3 linked regions of the Macaca fascicularis genome follow. The protein of the gene in region 1 interacts with the protein of each later gene in a pairwise test. Links are inferred from orthologs where the notes say so. Each region holds a gene or a part of one and is shown in the gene's direction. Other genes may lie near its edges.

The links.
Region 2: the proteins of NT5C2 (region 1) and NME7 interact in binary tests that used the Homo sapiens proteins (3 or more experiments, as listed by UniProt). The two-hybrid records come from large-scale screens. The link is inferred for Macaca fascicularis from reciprocal best matches to the Homo sapiens genes NT5C2 and NME7.
Region 3: the proteins of NT5C2 (region 1) and MOB3B interact in binary tests that used the Homo sapiens proteins (3 or more experiments, as listed by UniProt). The two-hybrid records come from large-scale screens. The link is inferred for Macaca fascicularis from reciprocal best matches to the Homo sapiens genes NT5C2 and MOB3B.

Annotation. Positions count from the first base shown.
Region 1 is NC_088383.1:112,136,639-112,140,149, reverse strand, and holds part of NT5C2 (cytosolic purine 5'-nucleotidase), read left to right. Parts: intron 1-245; coding exon 246-337; intron 338-469; coding exon 470-527; intron 528-1,536; coding exon 1,537-1,630; intron 1,631-2,883; coding exon 2,884-2,937; intron 2,938-3,511. UniProt on the Homo sapiens protein: Broad specificity cytosolic 5'-nucleotidase that catalyzes the dephosphorylation of 6-hydroxypurine nucleoside 5'-monophosphates.
Region 2 is NC_088375.1:26,996,332-27,000,389, reverse strand, and holds the start of NME7 (nucleoside diphosphate kinase homolog 7), read left to right. Parts: upstream 1-1,250; 5' UTR 1,251-1,337; coding exon 1,338-1,340; intron 1,341-1,516; exon of another isoform or gene 1,517-1,574; intron 1,575-4,058. UniProt on the Homo sapiens protein: Possesses an intrinsic kinase activity. Displays 3'-5' exonuclease activity with a preference for single-stranded DNA. Does not seem to have nucleoside diphosphate kinase activity.
Region 3 is NC_088389.1:71,440,906-71,445,155, forward strand, and holds the start of MOB3B (MOB kinase activator 3B), read left to right. Parts: upstream 1-1,442; 5' UTR 1,443-1,699; intron 1,700-4,250. UniProt on the Homo sapiens protein: Modulates LATS1 expression in the Hippo signaling pathway which plays a pivotal role in organ size control and tumor suppression by restricting proliferation and promoting apoptosis.

The DNA of each region.
Region 1 (3,511 bases):
TTCAGGAGTTTAAGTCCAGCCTGGACTTAAAATAGCAAGACTCTGTCTTAAAAATAAAATAAAATAAAATTGAAAAAGAGCTGGAACCTGAACTCATTCATCTTCATAGCTACCCATGCTTAATATTCGGAATCCTGTCTTGCACATAGCCATCAAAATATTTGAGTTAATTTTTGAATAATGCTGTTTCCCAATTATTATAATGTTATTTTAAAAATCATTTAATTTTTAAATTTTTCTTTCAGACCAGAAACTAGAGAACAGTATCCAAATAAATTTATCCAGCGAGATGATACTGAAAGATTTTACATTCTGAACACACTATTCAACCTACCAGGTAGATTCATTCTATGCTTGTTTATACTGATGCTTTCCCTTCTGTGACCATTAGTCTCTGTTCAAGGGAGATAATGAAATAAGTTTGAATTATTTCATTATAGCTTATGAGTATCTGTTCTTCATTTTTCAGAGACCTACCTGTTGGCCTGCCTAGTAGATTTTTTTACTAATTGTCCCAGATATACCAGGTATGTACATACTATAATTTTTTTTTTTCCAATTGATTTTTTAAATTAATGCACAGGGTTTTAGAGAACTGGCCATTGTAGGTCTTTTCTGCTTTTCTAAAGTGAATTTAGTGCTAGTGAGAGATGCCACATTGCCAGCCTGAGAGATGGGACAGCACCAGCAGCTCCATGCAGGCTCTCACCTCCCACACGGCCCCTCTCCTTGCCAGTGTGCTGCAGCCACCACTTCTGATTGGCTTCTCCTGGGAATGAAGACGGCCAGCAGAGGTGCTAATTGTGACAACTGAGTGGGAGGTTTGTGTGATGATTATCTGTCCAAGCAGAATTACACTAAAACCCCCCAACTCATTTCACAGCAGCTACCCAGGAGCCATTCAGGGATGGTAATTTAATTTCATTTCCAGGCCCGGCAAGATTTGATTAAGGAATAAATACTGTGTATCTTACCAGAAGTAAAATTTTGCATAAGTCTTAAACAAGTTATCCTCTTCCTTTAGGGAGAATTATATAGCCAATACTGAAAGTTTAGCCAGAGTTGGCTAACTTCATATCCTCTTTGGGCTTTATCTACTTGAAGACACTAAATTTGGTGGAAAGCTGAGTCACTGAGCTAAATAAAAAATGGACAGTACCTTTGTACTTAGGGACAGTGTCAGAAAAGTCAGGGTGGAAAGAACCTAAATGACCAATTTTAAGTTTTAAATGTTTCTTCAACCTGTTTCTAAAACGTGATAAATAAACCTGATATTTTTTGAACTTTGGCCTTTTAGCTTACGTTCAATATATTCTTCCATCACTTTGTATTTGTTCACAATTATTGTATTCCGTTGAACACTATAGCCATTTCTGGTGGTCAAAGTGGACTTTCATTAGGGAGTAATTATTTTCCTCATTAGCCACAGCCTTTACCCATGTGATACGGAACCTTTGGGTCCCCTGGGAAATTTTTGACATATATTTTATTGCCCTGTTTTGGATCCCCTGTCATGTTCTTTTTATCTTTCTGTAGTTGTGAGACAGGATTTAAAGATGGGGACCTCTTCATGTCCTACCGGAGTATGTTCCAGGATGTAAGAGATGCTGTTGACTGGGTTCATTACAAGGTACCTAGAAGCTGCTGCTTCACCTGCTCGCTTTCTGGCATGTGTTTTATGGCCTGGCATTAACTTTCCAAATGGAGCAGAATATTTCCTTTTTTTAAAAAAAGACAAAATGGCCGGGCGCGGTGGCTCAAGCCTGTAATCCCAGCACTTTGGGAGGCCGAGACGGGCGGATCACAAGGTCAGGAGATCGAGACCATCCTGGCTAACACAGTGAAACCCCGTCTCTACTAAAAAATGCAAAGAAACTAGCCGGCGAGTTGGCAGGCGCCTGTGGTCCCAGCTACTCAGGAGGCTGAGGTAGGAGAATGGCGTGAACCCGGGAGGCGGAGCTTGCAGTGAGCTGAGATCCAGCCACTGCACTCCAGCCTGGGCGACAGAGCGAGACTCCGTCTCAAAAAAAAAAAAAAAAAAAAAAAAAAAAGACAAAATGGATTTGCCCCCTAGTGATAGCTCTCTAGAATACATATGTTCTTGTCTTTGGTCTTGGAGGTAATGTTGATCTTTCCTCAGCGATGGTGTTTGACTTCTGGATTTTATTTTAGTTTGCATTTCTCAAACGTAGAAGAGGTTTTAGTGTATTACATTATATTTAACATATCCTTTGTGGATGACAGTGGTCCATTTTTTTTTGTCCAGATACCTCCCACCTGACTACAAACATTAATTAATATTAAATTTACATTTATTATAAACTATTGAATAAAATATGAAATGCCTTTTAATTTCAAACTTGAAACTGTTTTATATTTTGAAGACAAATTTTAGAGGCAGGGTTGCAGCAAATCATACCTGCTACTTTTTTCTGGCCTTCTCTAGTTTGTCACTTTTCTATTTTGATAAATCCTTAAGAAATGCATTTGGGGCTGGACATGATGGCTCATGCCTGTAATCTCAGCACTTTGTGATGCCGAGGCAGGTGGATTGCTTGAGTTCAGGAGTTCAAGACTAGCCTGGGCAACATGACAAAACCCTGTCTCTACAAAAAATACAGAAAATTAGCCAGGTGTGTTGGTGTGGACCTGTGGTCCCAGCTACTTGGGAGGCTGAAGTGGGAGGATCACCTAAGCCTGGGGAGGTTGAGGCTGCAGTGAGCCGAGATTACACCACTGCACTCTAGCATGGGCAATAGGGTGACCTTGTCTCAAAAAAAGAAAGAATTTGGGTTGATTAGTAAACACCATTTTTCTTATAAACTACACGTTAAAAACTGATTTTGTTCTTTTCTTAATGCCTTTTTTTTTTCCTTCCCCTAGGGCTCCCTTAAGGAAAAGACAGTTGAAAATCTTGAGAAGTATGTAGTCAAAGATGTAAGTAATATAGGGGAAAATAGATCTGCATAATAGCTCATTTTACCTATTAGGGAAATGAATAACAAGCTGATTTATAATGAAATGGACAAAGGAAGAGATTTCTTTGTCTTGGTATAGTATGTGCCAGATATAATCACCAAGAATATTCAGCTAGAGCATAGGTCTTAGTATAGTTTTTCCATTTCTTGATAGGCAAGAAGACTCAGTATTTCATTTGTCCATTTAGCTTCAATTATAATAGCAGTTAGAGGTTTACTGTATACACATCACCATGCTAAGTGATTACATGCATTATGCCACTTAATCTTCTGTATGACCCTGAGTTAGGTATTATTGTTACCTCTGTTTTATAGATAACTGAGAAATAGAGGGATTAAATAACTTGCCAAAGGTCACACGTTAGTAAGTAGTAAAGCTGAGTCATACCCAGATTATAACTACTACACTAGATCATCTCAAAAATGTGCATATATGTTACCGTTATTTAAAATGCCTTATTACAGAGAGTAATAAGGAAAGCTTTAAAATACCTTAAAAGGCAATATTGGGAAACCTGATAAAATTTTTTAAA
Region 2 (4,058 bases), on another chromosome or scaffold:
TAACGAACGAGAAAAAATATTACTCAAGATAACATAATTCATATTTTTTTGGTAATAAAGTTAAAATAGTGTAGCTCCAAAAGTAAAAAGAGAAACATATATTGAGCACATGCTTTCAGAAATGTACACACTGCCTACAGTACAGACTCAGATTTACTAGAAAACATATAAAAAGGTGATGCTACTGCAATGATATAAATATGACAAACTGTACACTAGATGACAACTGGTGTCACTACAAAAAAAGATCGCTCTCAGTACTAGATACAACTCAGTTCAATTAGTGAACCCGACGACTAACTTTCTTAACAGTCACAAACTTTTCTACACTACAGTCTATTGCTCCGAAAAGAGGTATCCAAAAAACCCTTCGTAAGAGTAACGATCCCTGAAACTGCCCTTGATAGTTGCTCTGCGAAACATACAGGCACACCGAGTGCGTGCTGGCAAATGCCAAATGAAGGTGAGGGGGTGAAGAAGTAAGTAGGGGGAGTGAGCAGGTATGAGAGCGATAGGCCGGGAAGCGACAAGTCTGTCAACCTTTGCTGTCCCGGGAAGTCGAAACCGAAGTTCCATTCCTGTCTGAAAAAGCCTTCCCGGAACAACAATCGTTCCCTAAATCCAAAGCTACTGGCCACCAAGCTCCAGCCAGACCTCCGTCCCTTTCCAACATCCTTAGTTATACCTGCTTGTCCTCGGATTTACCTGTAAGATTCTTATTCTCCGTATTTCAGGGGACTTCACTTCATAGGCTCTTCGGATCGGTATCACCAGGCTAACTTCTCACAGACCTCTTCCATTCAGAAGCCGGCCCGCCCAGGCCCTCCACATATCCAGGAGCTCTCTCACTCCTAACCACTTCCGATTACTCAGGGTTTCGCTTCCGGAATACGTTTCCAAAAGAGAAGGGTAAATACATTCTGCAGTGCGTTTAAACTCAAGTAACACAGAACACACACTGTAAGGCCTCCGTAAGTGGAAAGCGGACAGATGTCTACTTTAAAATAAAATACTGTACAGCAACTTTTGGAGCCCAAGCCTCAGATTCACTTAAACTTCCGGGCCAGCTGTTAAACAAACGGAAGTAAAACTGCCGGAAACAGAAAAACGGCGTCTCGTAGCCCCAGGCGACAGCGTGGAGGGGCGGGCCTGTCGATTGGATGAACGCAGCTGAGATTACTCCCAGCCACTAAGGACGAAGAGGTGGGGCGGTGGCGTCCCACGCACCGTGCGACAGTGGGCGGTGCTCTGTTGCCTGAGTAACCGGATGATGGTGTTGGTGGTGGTGTCTTCCTGTCTCAACGATACCTATTTTCTAGTGCTGAGATCCTGAGACAATGGTGAGTGCCAGGGGATGTCAGAATAACGGCTGTGGGTCCTAGCTACTTAGCGTTCCAAGTCTTCGGGCGGATGGGCACTTAAAGTTGTCCTGTCCTCCCGACCTTCTCCTCATTATCTCTTTCCCCCTTCCCATGGGCTGTTACTGCAGTTTACTCGCTCTCCGTATTTCTTACAGCACCCTGAATTCCACTGATGCTACTAAGTCTCTAGAGTAATGAAACAGAAAATTCAGGGTAAGGCATCGAGTCTAATCACCTGTTTTGAACAACATTATGTGTTTTCATTGTTCATCGTGGCATTTTTCATGCTCACAGATTCACATTAACGCGCTTTATTAAGAGTGTGGGGTGGTGTGTATGTGACTGTCTCAACACTGATCTGAATCTCCCTAGATCTTGGAGTCCTTTTGCTTTTCTGAGTGGCAGAGCACTGCCCCACGCCCCCACGAGGGCCATTAACAGATGTATGTTGGATCAGCTCTCGTCTGTCCAGTTGCTTACCTTCTAGGTCTGTGCTTGCTTTTCTTTTCTTTCTTCTTCTTCTTCTTTTTTTCTTTCTTTTTTTTTTTTTTTAAACAGAAATTTCTCCTGGGATTGCTTGGAGAGCTTCTGCAATTCACTGTTTGGACTTCACCCCTGGAAATTCTGAATGAAAGGAATGGGGCTTGGTATTTGCATTTTAAATAAACCTGTAGGTGATTTTAATTCACCCACATGTTTGAGAGTACCAGGGTTCTAGTTAATTCACTTAACTATCGTGTCTTTTAAGCACTTATGGATAATGGACTGGAAGATAGAAAGATCTTTAGATAGTTATAGCTACGAATTTAGAAACAGAGCCCCCACCCATCACCCCTTGTTTCTTCATACTACTCAGCAATCCTTTTGGTTACCCCAGTTTTCCCCTGCCCCATTTTCTGTAAAGACATTTTCAAACCTTCCATTTATAAACCCTGTCTTTTGCCCTTCTCATTTCTCCTTTCTAAACATGATGGAGTATAACAATTCTTCAACCTCATGCCCCCAACCTACACACTGATCTATATTTTTGCCAAGCCTTTAGTCTTGTATTTCTAGTGTAGAGAAAGGGATATTAAAGGATAATCCATCCATCTTTGCTTTTGATCTCATTTGCTTCCATCTGTTACATTTCGCTTCCAGTTGTCTTTTTTCTTTCCTGTGCTTTCAGCCTCTTCCTCTTCAGTTCCTTCTACTCAGTGCTCAAGTCACACATCTTATGAAAATTAAATAAAGCAAAACCATGTCATCCATCCTGTGTTTATCCAGTTATTTCCCAGTCCTCCTATCTATCAGTAAACTTATTGAAAGGATATTATTTTTACTTATATCAAACAGACAAAAGTCTTTTGTCTGGCTTCTTTAATGCCTTCAAGAAAGTTGTTCTTGCTTAAGTTTCTAAAGGCCTTTTAAATGCCAAATACAGTAATTACTTCTCAAAATTTATATCGCTTAGTCTGTTTGTGACAACTGAGGTTCATAGTCATTAATTCCTTTTACTGGCTGTGCCTGGTTTTTGAATGTCATTCTTTGGAATTCACTCCTTAATTACTTTCATTTCTTAGTCTAGACATTTTCCTTGGGTGATTTTGTCCACTCACATGGATTCTATTAACACCTTTGATTTTGCTTCTAAATTTCAATTTTTCTCTCAGATCTACTAATGCCTAACTCAGTTGCTTCCCGGACACATCTGTCTCAAAGGTCCCTCAAACTTAATATGACCAAAACTGAACTTGCTATCTTTCCTCCTGGTTTCTCCTATTTTCACCAAGTTAAATACTGCTACTACTATATTGTAACCTAAACTAGAAATCAGAGTTATCCTACATTCCTCCCTTTCCTATTTCTCCCATATTCAGTTGGTCACTAGATCAAATTTTAGTTTGTCATCTCCTCATTTCTTGATTATTTTAATAGTGACTTTTACAGTCTGGTCTGGAAATTCTCCAATCCATTATTTTCTCTGCCACAAGAAGGAATTTTTAAAAACCCAGCCTGTTGATTTACTCACCTCCTTAAAACTCTAGAATCCCCATTTCCTACAGTAAAATGTCTAGAGTGGCACACAAATTCCTCCATGAACAAGCACTTCTCTGTCTAGCTTTTGCCTTTCCTTTTCCATACCTTTTTTTTTTTTTTTTTTATAAAAAATTATCTTGCCTTTTAGCTACTTGCTTTTCATTGAACATACCAAGCAACTTCAAACTGGTAGTATGCCTCCTCTTTCTACTTTGCACTTGCAATTCCTTCTGCACAGAATACCTGCACCCTCTTGTTGCTTGCCAAACTCTTATTTATTCTCCTGTTACAGGCCAACGTGTTCTTCTTGCCCGCTTCCCAGAAAGGCCAAACATCGAGAATGCAGGAGTTGCAGCAGAGAAAGAGTTTAATGGAGGCAAGGCAGCTGAGTGGCAGGATAGGAGATATTTCTAAAATCCACCTCTCTGACAGCTTGGAGGTTGTGGTTTTTAGGGATAATTTTGTGGGCAGGTGGGTAGGGAGTGGGTGCTGCTGATTGGTTGGGGATGAATTTATAGGTGTTTCCAAACTGTCTTCCTGTGCTGAGTCAGTTGTCTAGGTGAGAGTCATAGGACTAGTAGAGTCAGTTTCTTGGTATGAGTCATGTATCTGGGTGGCATCAGGAGGTTTGCCAGAATGCAGAAGCCTGAAAAATATATCAAGACCAATCTTAGGTTT
Region 3 (4,250 bases), on another chromosome or scaffold:
CTTGGGCAAAGAATGTGAATGTTATTTATTCTATTCCAAACTACCTGAAAATATTCTTTCTGTTCCTAATTTGCAGAAGATAACATCTTAAGGGACACTGAAACTTGTGCGTGTATGAGTATAACACATGATGGGGGCCCTTGAGCTCATGAGGGAGGGGCTACATGTGTGTGGGGTGAGAAGTATGCTGGAAAGAATGACAGGTGGTGACGCTGGAGCACTTACCATGTGACAGGTGTTACCCTAAGCATGTTGTATGTATTCCTTCATTGAATACCTGTATTATCCTTATTTTATAAGATGAGGTAACAGAGCTTCAGAAAGGTTAGACTCAGCTACTATGGGTCTGTCTGACTCTGATGTTCATCCTCTTAAAAACTGGGGCAGTTTGGAAATGAGATTCCTCGGTGATGAACAGAAATATTGCTTAGGGGCTATGTTTTTGTATCTGGCAGTTTTCTCATATTCGAGTCTTATATTCACAATCGATATCTTTACATTACACAAATGACACAGAATTAGAGTCATTTAATCCAGGGTTGATATCACTAAGTCATGACTATTTATTAAATGTTTCTTAAAATATCTGAGATGACTTGATATTGCAAAAGATTTAAGTGATTTTAGAAGTTCTCACTTCGTAGTTAGTTGCAGAAACCTCTTTTGGAGGAGGGATGTTTTCTCCATATATCTTAATTTCTACTTAATGTATTTCCACACCGCTTTGAAGTGTGTAGTAAGAATGGTAAAATGCAGTACTTCGTCATTTGGTACACTTCAACCAATATGCACTAAGATGTGATCATATGGGGAATAGAAAAATGTGAAAGACCCAATTCTTTTTCTGCAGAAGGCAGGAAGCTCATATTTGATTACTGTTACTATGAACTATAAAGACGTTTTAAATGTAGTTTACCCGTAACCATCACCCTGCAAGGGTGATATTGCTCCCCGCCAATTTACGGAGGAGAATACCGAGGCTTTAAGGTTGTAGACAGACCAAGACCACACAAGTAGAGAGTGGCGGGCTGTGGGTTGGACTTTAAAATCTATGTTCATCCATAACTCCCAGTGTGCTCTAGTAAATCCGCTAAAATCCGAGTATTTTCCAATGATTGATGCTCCGCTCTGTGTCAGGCAGTTCGTGGTATCTTTCAACAATCAGAAAATTCTGGGGAAGGCAAACCGTTTCCCCCTCTCTAGGTGCCTTGAAAGTGGCCGTGGTAGACCCACAGATCATCCTTTCTGATCTGACACCTTCTTCACTGCCCTGGCCCGCGAGTCAGTGTCTTTTCTGCAAGGCTGGAAGCCCCCTTAGGACTGGTCATGTCCCATCTCTTTCCGGAGGGAAGATGATCCCAAAGACGACTTTTCTCCCCACGGAGCTGCCATTCCGCAGGCGGCCGCCAGGGGTCCCCGCTCGGCGTCCCCGCGAGACGGTCGAGCCCCGGCCGGCTGCGCGGCGCGCTGGGTGCATGTGGGGGCTGCTCCGGAGCGGCGGCGGCTGCCTCTGGAGCCAGGCTCTCGCCTGTCCGCCGGTTGGCTCGCTGGGACCGCGCGCACCGGCCGCAGAGTCCCTTGAGTGGATTGGGAAGCGACGCCCCACCTGCCCCGAGCTCACCATTTTCCTCTCGCGCTGGCTGCAGCTGACCCGGCGAAGGAAACCGACCGGGCCCTGGGCTGGAGGTAAAACCCCACGGTGAGTAAGAACCCGCTCCAAGCGAGGGGAGGCGGCGCAGCCCGGTGGCTGTTCGCCCCCGACCTCACCCAGGCGGGCGGCGAGGTGCGGGGCGCACCTGAGCGCGTGTGCAAGAAGGTGCGGGAGGCGGCCGACCGGCCCGCTGCCGGCCGGCCGCGGGCTTCCGGGGCTGGAGTCTGCTTCAGACCCCTGCCGGCGCCTGGGCTTCTGGCCGGCTCCTTGTGTGCACTTCCCGGCAGGAACTAGGGTCGCCCACTTTCCACCCCGGGATCCGTGGCCTTGATTTGAAAAGATATAAATCAATAAGATCGTCCTTCTTTCGGGGTGCAAGTCTCCGAGCCCATCCCCAGCCGCGGACGCATGCAGGGTGCGTGTTGGGCTGTGGGTGGCGGGAAGACAAACTTTTACAAAAGTGCTCCCGGGCTGGGGGACAACGCTTGGGCGTCCTGATCCTGAGGGAGGAGTCTCGGCTTGGGGCAGCGTCGGGGAACTCCACGCTGTAAGCCAGGTCGCCCCCGGGGCTGACAATGCCTCATGGAGGTGGGGAGCGTGTAAAGGCCATACAAATCGCTCTTAACTTTGGGGCCAACAACTGTCAAACATCTGGAATCCCAGCCCTCCCTTTCCCTGAACTGGGGAAGAAGGTGAAAACCCTTCCACTTTTCTTTGATTGCCCCTTGCCACCTTCAGACCCCTGCTGGGAGGGTAAAGCGCAGACCCCTGGCGCCTGACAAGTACCAGAGACCCTAAATCTCTCGGATTCCCCCTCGCCCTCTTTCCTGACCCTTTCCCCTAACCCTCCCCGCAGGGACCTAGCGACGCAGCCGACTGAGATCGTGGCGAATGGCCTTTTGTTTCTCCGCGTTTCGCCTATTGTTTGCCTTTCCAACATCTGGCAGGGCTTGGGGAGAGAAGGAAGCCCCTCTGGTCCTCCTCCCCGGCCCCCATGCCAGCTCCGGCAGGGGATCCCAGCTGGGGAAGCGGAGGAGCCCGACCCCAGCGAGGCCGCCCCACCCCGCCCTTGTGGTTAGAGGGCGGAGGGAAAGTTGTTCCTTCCCCGCCTCCGCTGCTGCCTGTGGCCCGGGGCGCATTTCTCAGATCTCAACCCAGGCGCGCCGCAAAGGGCGCAAATCCGAGAAGGTGCTGCTTTCGAGACAGTGGAATCGTGTTCCGCCCCAATCCAAAGTGTCCCGTGGTTGGTTCCAGAGGATTTCAATCTCTAGCCAAAGGCGTTGGGGCTGGGCTGCTGCTAGGGCAGTGGGAGGGGATCGGGGCACCTTTGATAGGCAGAAAGCTGAGATTCTCGAGTCCACAAGTTTCCAAGGGCGGGAGGGCAGGCTAGTCGCCAAAGAGAGAACGGAGATGCAAATAACGAGGAAGCCTCCTGACGTTGCCTGGAAATAGTGGTGTGGTGGTTCACTCCGGAATGAACGTGGAGTTCTGGCTTTGAGTACCGCTCCAAGTTTAAATCTCAAGTACCCTTTCTGCATTGTAGAAAAAGAGGACTCAGAGGACGCAGCGCAGATACGGCCAGAGCACAGTTCCTCTTCCACGTTCCCGCGAACAAGTGGCTTAGGATGGCCCTGAGTACCCTGTGGGTGCGCTTGCTGGGTTGCAGGCGCCCCTGTTTCCCTGCACAAGTTAGATGCTTATGCATTGTGTTCATTCTTAGTGTGGATTATTGATTAAAGAACTGGGGCAAAAGCAAAGTAGCTACTCTGAGAAGGCAGGGTCCCCAGATGGTGCCCAGCAAGTTGTCTTGCCTCTGAGGGGAGGCTGACTGGGACTGCACCTGTTGCAACCTATACCTCCCCATAGCCTTGCAGTTGACCTGCTGTTGCCAGCTTTTCCTGTGGGATCCCCAGTCAGTCCCTCTTCCAAGGAAGCTCGATTACACTTTTGATTCCTCCTCAACCCAGGGGAAGAAGGAGGCTTCTTAGGAACATTATGATCCATGTACCCACTCAGACATTTTCAGTGGATACCGGAAGCTTGGCTCTGTTTAGTTCCGAGAGTTTTCCCTTTGCCAACTCAACAGGACTTTTGAGTTTCCATTTAACAAAACAGAAGTGAGACTGCTAAGCCAGGAATGTGACACATAGAGCACTTTCTATAGTGATTTCTGGATATTATATCTCTTTACCTTCCCAACGGTGGAACCAGTAAGAGATAAACAGCACCATCTTTGAAGTACTGAAAGGCACTTTACAAACATTTCATTATGAAAATGAACCCCAAGGAAAGATTCCTTTGAAATTTAGGAGCAGCAACCCAGAAGCAACAAAAAAGACCATAGTTACTCAAGAAGTACCCAAAGGTATCATTAACAAGGTAAAAGAGCATTTCTTGTCTTGGCCTACCCACTAAGGAAAACAGGGTAATTATAATGGAAGTTAAGCTTGTACTGTTTCTTTTAGAATTAAAAATTCCCCCAAAAATCATTATAGGAAAAATAGAAAATACTGATAGGTGAAAATGAATATTAAAGGGGTAGATATTATAAACAAGGTTCCAGTGAACAATCTTATCTATCTGTTTCCTTGGAATAAAT